2 linked regions of the Xenopus tropicalis genome follow. The protein of the gene in region 2 interacts with the protein of the main gene of each other region in a pairwise test. Links are inferred from orthologs where the notes say so. Each region holds a gene or a part of one and is shown on either strand. Other genes may lie near its edges.

What was found.
Region 1: the proteins of hmbox1 (region 2) and abitram interact in binary tests that used the Homo sapiens proteins (3 or more experiments, as listed by UniProt). The two-hybrid records come from large-scale screens. The link is inferred for Xenopus tropicalis from reciprocal best matches to the Homo sapiens genes HMBOX1 and ABITRAM.

What each region holds. Positions count from the first base shown.
Region 1 is NC_030682.2:76,821,443-76,825,099, reverse strand, and holds part of abitram (protein Abitram), read right to left. Parts: intron 2,733-3,657; coding exon 2,603-2,732; intron 1-2,602. UniProt on the Homo sapiens protein: Actin-binding protein that regulates actin polymerization, filopodia dynamics and increases the branching of proximal dendrites of developing neurons.
Region 2 is NC_030681.2:151,835,006-151,838,662, forward strand, and holds part of hmbox1 (homeobox-containing protein 1), read right to left. Parts: intron 998-3,657; coding exon 841-997; intron 1-840. UniProt on the Homo sapiens protein: Binds directly to 5'-TTAGGG-3' repeats in telomeric DNA. Associates with the telomerase complex at sites of active telomere processing and positively regulates telomere elongation.

The sequences.
Region 1 (3,657 bases), on a different chromosome or scaffold from region 2:
GCGGCAAATCTGTTGGCTTGTACAAGCTATGAACCACCCCTCCTACCCTTCTGTCCCCTACTGCTTCTTATTTTTTGCGACTTAACGGCATAATTAAGACACGTTGTTCTTTGCGTTATTTAACTTGCGATAAGCGTTTGCCTTGCATTATTTCCTGCCCTGTGCGTTATTTCCCACTGCACGCAATATATTTTGCCGCGTGCTATATTAGCGCACGATTTTACGCACGTAACCATTACTTTCGGGAAACTACTGGAGGATGCATCACTCTAGAGCCAACACATACTTGAAAAAATCCCACTGCAAAGTCCATGTTGTGTTGCCAAAAGCTCACGAACCACAATTTTCTTTCAGTACCGCCTGCCCCAAGTAGGTGTTAATCTTCGCACAGACTAATGCGATATTTAGTGCATTTAACGCTTCATGTATGTTTGTGAATCATTCGTTAGTATTATTTCTATGCGAGACTTAACGGAATGCGAGGTAAATAACGCATGTGAAATGACTTTGATGAATCGGTACTTAATTAACACATGCTTTTTAACGCAAAAAAAGCATGCGATAAGCGTTATCAACCTTTAGTGAATCGGCCCCAAAGACTCTTATTCAGCATACATTTCATCAATAATACAGGCTCACACAGGCAGAACTGTCTCTGATAAAAGTTCTGCTTTGTTTGAGCAGAGCTCAGGAGAGGAGGTTAGAAGAAAAACATTGAAGCAGACAGCTAGAGCTGAGTTTCTATGGGAACCAGAAATGCCATCTCTTTACTGGCTGCTAGACTGGAGGGCGCGTTTAGTAATCTGAGCTTAGAACAATTGAGCATGTCTGGCAAGCCAGAAATCAAAGCCAATTCCCGAGGGGGGCTGAGTGGGTTACAGGAGGAGAAGGAAATCTAAGTGATTAAGGAGATGTAGCAGGAATATTAACCGCTGGACAACCAATGTGGCAGGTATTAAAAGATTTCAAAGTGGATGTTCAGTGATGTCAAATACTGTCATTCAGCTGCCAGATCAGGGTTATATCTGACAGGCAGTCGTGGCTTGTCCTTTTACTGTGTGCTGAGTCTAGGAGGAGAGGGATTGGATTCAGAAACAGTGGCTCTATTAGTTTGTTCTACTTTATCCACGTAATCACAAATATCATGGCAATAATTAGCAAGGCTGAACTAACAGAGATGGTTATTAGGGTTATTATTAACCTTTCAGATTCAGTAGACAGCCCAGCTCATAATTAAATTAATATAAAAAACAGCAGCCCTAAGAAAACATGGTTATATGATGCCAAGTACTACTGCAGATATTGAATTCTGCCCAGATGAAGAGAAGCAGCAGATCAGTACCAATTCATTTATATAGGCAAGTCTGTTAAAAAAAAACATAAAAGGGACCTCTCTAAAGAATGACTATGCTTAAATATACATTGATTAAAAGACTCACTGATTAAGAACTAATTTGTAAAAATAACTGCAATTATGTTTATCTATTTTTGTTATTGGGTCTGGCTTTTCAAACTGTGCAGCAGAACCCAGGTGTCCTCCAGGACTGTTACCTGGCTTCACTGTAGTGAATATAAACAGTTATATAATGCCTTTAATAGCCATTACATACATAACTTTAAAACTACTACTACTTCACAGACCATTTTTAATTTTGAATAAGGACAGTAAGAAAAAGGTATGTCAGCATAATTTTTCTTTGGCCAGTTACTTAAAATGGACTACTAGTCATATCCCTCTCCTGCCTTCTTGTAATGAGATTATAACATAACCTGAGGACTCCAGGATGCCATCATTTGTGATCAACCAGAATGAAAACAATGTTATTTTTGATAATGATACTGCAAGCTGCATCAGTAACACATATAAAATATATATTGCCTTTTAAGCATTTTGAATCATATCTATACTGCTGCATACAGAAAATGTACAATGATGTGTAGAATTAACGGCACTGTATTTTATGCTAGGGCCAGAGAAATCACACAAGGAACTCTTCAGAAATTTCTGGCAGCATTCCCTGGTGCCCTGGTAGCTAGGCTATAGCTAGATACATTTTTGATTATGCATTATACAGGTGTTTACATTCAGAATTACAGGGGTCTTTACAGGGGACCATTTTGCAAAATGCAGTTTCAGCAAAGGTTGCAAATATGCAAATGATATTACAAATAAAAAGTTCCAACTGTTTCTCTGCCTGCAAATAAATGAAAGCAGAGAAACAGCCAATTCACTCCTCCCTCTGGCCTCATGGAGTAGTTTTTGGTGCAAAAACACAAGTGTATGTATTGCTGCTCCAAAATCTGCTTCCTCTGTCTGCACTCAAGCACATGCCTCGTGTGGTGTTTCACGTATAGCAAAAAACTCATGCATGAAAATGATTAAGAAATCAGTAATTGCTTTCAGCTTTATAAACTGGTTATTTTGATTTGACTGTTTGGCTGAAAAACCCTTTACAGACCTTCTTTTTATTTATTCCTTCTGTCAATGAGCCCCACAACGAAAATTTAAAGCGCCACTAATCCCTAAATAGTAATAAAGCATGCATTCAGATTCTATAGAGATTCAGAGATTACACTGCAACTTGTACTCAGTATCTCTTACCCTTTTGGATTTTCCAGAGACTTTGTTCTGCAGTCTGCTGCAATTGGCACTGATCTGGTAACTAATAGTTTTAATGGTTTTTCCATTTTGAAGAAGTGGGTGACATTCTGCTAGTGTAATAATACAGATTCTGCAGATGCAAAAAGAAAAAAAAGCCAAAATAAACAACGTCCTAATACACAGTAAAATTTAGGCTTGATGCAAACACTACTTTAATACAATTTAAGAGTTTCCTTACCTTCACAGAACAAAATAATAACTATTTGAAACTGCTTTCTACGGTCCAAAATGATGCTAGTGCACCATTTCCAAATAGGGTTAAACTTTGCGCATGTTGCTGCCTAGCTTGCACATAATGGTGTGTGCCAAATTTTGCTACAACTTGTGGCAGTCAAAATTATATTGTAGTTCTATGGAAAACACTGCAGTTTTGGTAAAAACAGTGACATTTTTTTAATTATTGCTATATCCTCATTAGTAAACAATGCCCCCTGGGGCCTGACACAAGTTATATGTTAAGACCACATCAGCACTTTTTTGCTTGTGTACTTCTACTCATTGTGTTTACAACAGGGCAGGCCCGGATTTGTGGCGAGGCCACAAAGGCCCGGACCTAGGGCGGCACAAATTTAGGGGCGGAATGCCGCCCCGCCGCAGCGAAAATTTAACATTTTGCGGCCATACGGAGCAATGGGGACTTCTCCCCACTGTTCCGTATGGTAGTTTGAATGGCTGCGCATGCGCACTTGCGTCTGCGGGGGGGGAGGGGAGATTTTTGCGCATGCGCGCCAGGGGGGTGGCCTTGGGGCGCCTGGAATTAAAATCCGGCGCTGCAACAGGGGTTTTCAGAATGCACACTGTTTTGGATATTTATGGTTTTTTCATATTTCTGTAAACTTTGCCTTGAAATCAAAGGTGTTTTAAATCCAAAGATTGAATGAATGCTAAGCAAATATTTTTCAAAAAACCTGATAAAATAGATGCAGTAGTGTAACTACCAGGGGTGCACGAAGTGTGATTGCAACCACGATAAAAGAACCACGATAATAGACTGC
Region 2 (3,657 bases):
TGGGAGCTGCTATCTTGCTCCCTTCCCATTGTTCTGCTGATCGGCTGCTGGGGGTGAGGGGGGGATATCACTCCAACTTGCAGCGCAGCAGTAAAGTGTGCCCGAGTCTGAGCTTTCAGCCAGCGCTACACATTAGAACTGCTTTTAGCTAATTGTTTCAGCTATTGTTTCTCCTACTCCCATGTAACTGGAGGAGTCCCAAGCCGGACTTGGATTTCTTACTATTGAGTGCTATTCTGATACCTACTGGGAGCTGCTATCTTGCTCCCTTCCCATTATTATGCTGATCGGCTGCTGGGGGGGGGGATATCACTCCAACTTGCAACGCAGCAGTAAAGTGTGACTGAGTCTGAGCTTTCAGAAGGAGCCAGCGCTACACATTAGAACTGCTTTCAGCTAACCTATTGTTTCTCCTACTCCCATGTAACTGGAGGAGTCCCAAGCCGGACTTGGATTTCTTACTATTGAGTGCTATTCTGATACCTACTGGGAGCTGCTATCTTGCTCCCTTCCCATTGTTCTGCTGATCGGCTGCTGGGGGTGAGGGGGGGGGATATCACTCCAACTTGCAGCGCAGCAGTAAAGTGTGAGTGAAGTTTATCAGAGCACAGGTCACATGGCTGTGGCACACTGGGAAATGAAGAATATGGCTAGCCCCATGGGAAAAACAGATTACAATGCAGGATTCTGCTGGAGAAGCTCTATTAACTGATGCGTTTTGAAAAAAAACATGTTTTCCCATGACAGTATTCCTTTAATGGTGAGGGCCAGTTAATTAGTATCATTTCCCAGCCATGCCAAACATAGATTGCACAGTACGGTGTCTGCCTAGGGTCATACCTTTCCATCACAGCCAAGCATTCCTTCCTCCAGGTGAACCGACTTCCCCTTCGTAACCGGAAGGTGCCGGAAGTGGCGGTGACAGGAGGCGGGGTCTGTCTCCATTCTGCGTCTGTGTCTATGGGGATAGGGGCAGGTCGCATGCTTAGTGTTGCACCTGGGGGTAAAAAGAAGAAAAAAACAAAAGTGACCAGAAGGGTTTGCATTAGTTCTATGAGCAAATTCTCTCGTTATACTGCGCTAATGAGGCCGAGGGTCTATCTGCTGCTGTAGTTTAGAGAGGAAAAGTCATTGGATGAGCTAATGAATCAGTTCTAACGGAGGAGATCCAATGAGCAGCAGTGGGGTAGTTAGCGCTGCATGCCTGCTATCATCTCCTTAGGATAAAACAAGGAAATGCGGGGTAATTAGAGGAAGGGATAGATTGCTCTACGTGACATTAGGGATGAGCGCTTATGTTTCGGCAGGAGGAGGAGGGCAGGGAGGTCCCTGGGTGCTCACACACTCCCTATAACGAATACGAGGAGCCTTGCTTCGAGCAGGCAGCAATGTGATTACGGGAGCTGCACAGCATCAGGCTGCCTAATTGGCTGGAAATGTGATTTACTAACCCCACAAGGTACCGCTGGAGATGAAATCACCGGCATTGTGTGGCGCTTCCGAGAAGCACAGAACAACTCATTGTGTAGAGCACAAAGATACTGCTCTGGGTGCAGGGCAGCCACTTAGCCAGCAGGATACCAACGGGCATAAAAAGTTTTGGATCCAATAATGTAACGTGGCGTTTAACCCCCCCCCGCCCCCATCATATGGATCACTGCTCCCAGCAATACGTCCAAAATGTATTATGCAACTGCCCGTAATATTTCTACATGGGACACATGGAACTCCTTTACCCCCACTGCTTCCTATTTAAAGGGGAAGGAAAGGTGAAATCAATAGGGGTTGCCAAATATTAGGCATATATATATAATCACTTAAAGGAACAGTAACACCAAAAAATTCAAGTGTATGAAAGAAATTCCAATATAATATACTGCTGCCCTGCACTGGTACAACTGGTGTTTTGCCTCAGAAACACTACTATGGTTTATATAAAGAATGCAGCTGTGTAGCCATGGGGGCAGCCATTCAAAGGAGAAAAGGCACAGGCACATAGCAGATAACAGATAAAACACTATTGTATTCTACAGAGCTTATCCGTTATCTGCTATGTAACCTGTGCCTTTTCTCCTTTTTTCCAGCTTGAATGGCTGCCCCCGTGGCTACACAGCAGCTTATTTATATAAACTATAGTAGAGTTACTGTAGCAAACACCCCAGCTGTACCAGTGCAGGAATGGCTGCCCCCGGGGCTACACAGCGGGGTATTTATATAAACTATAGTAGAGTTACTGTAGCAAACACCCCAGCTGTACCAGTGCAGGAATGGCTGCCCCCGGGGCTACACAGCGGGGTATTTATATAAACTATAGTAGGGTTTCTGTAGCAAACACCCCAGCTGTACCAGTGCAGGAATGGCTGCCCCCGGGGCTACACAGCGGGGTATTTATATAAACTATAGTAGGGTTTCTGTAGCAAACACCCCAGCTGTACCAGTGCAGGAATGGCTGCCCCCGGGGCTACACAGCGGGGTATTTATATAAACTATAGTAGGGTTTCTGTAGCAAACACCCCAGCTGTACCAGTGCAGGAATGGCTGCCCCCGGGGCTACACAGCGGGGTATTTATATAAACTATAGTAGGGTTTCTGTAGCAAACACCCCAGCTGTACCAGTGCAGGAATGGCTGCCCCCATGGCTACACAGCAGCTTATTTATATAAACTATAGTAGAGTTACTGTAGCGAACACACAACTTTTACCAGTGCAGGGCAACAGTACATTATATTTCATTTACTTTAAAACTCTTTAATTTTTTGGTGTTACTGTTCCTTTAACCGAGACCCTTTCCTTCTCCTTTAAGGAGAACTGCCCAGTATTTCCAAGGATTATTGTGCGTTACAGCGGTACCTGGTCTGGAACAAGTTTATTTTATTAAGGGCAAAACATTGCTAAAGTAACCCAAACATGTGAGGCTCCCACAAAGCAACTCACTCTAACCCTAATACACACCCTAACCCTAATACACACCCTAACCCTAATACACTAACCCTAATACACTAACCCTAACACACTAACCCTTACACACTAACCCTAACACACTAACCCTAACCCCAACACTAACCCTAACCCCAACACTAACCCTAACCCCAACACTAACCCTAACCCAAACACTAACCCTAACCCAAACACTAACCCTAACCCTAACCCTAACCCAAACACTAACCCTAACCCAAACACTAACCCTAACCCAAACACTAACCCTAACCCAAACACTAACACTAACCCAAACACTAACCCTAACCCAAACACTAACCCTAACCCAAACACTAACCCAAACACTAACACTAACCCAAACACTAACCCAAACACTAACCCTAACCCAAACACTAACCCTAACCCAAACACTAACCCTAACCCAAACACTAACCCTAACCCAAACACTAACCCTAACCCAAACACTAACCCTAACCCAAACACTAACCCTAACCCCAACACTAACCCTAACCCCAACACTAACCCTAACCCCAACACTAACCCTAACCCCAACACTAACCCTAACCCCAACACTAACCCTAACCCCAACACTAACCCTAACCCAAACACTAACCCTAACCCCAACACTAACCCTAACCCTAACCCCAACACTAACCCTAACCCCAACACTAACCCTAACCCAAACACTAACCCTAACCCCAACACTAACCCTAACCCAAA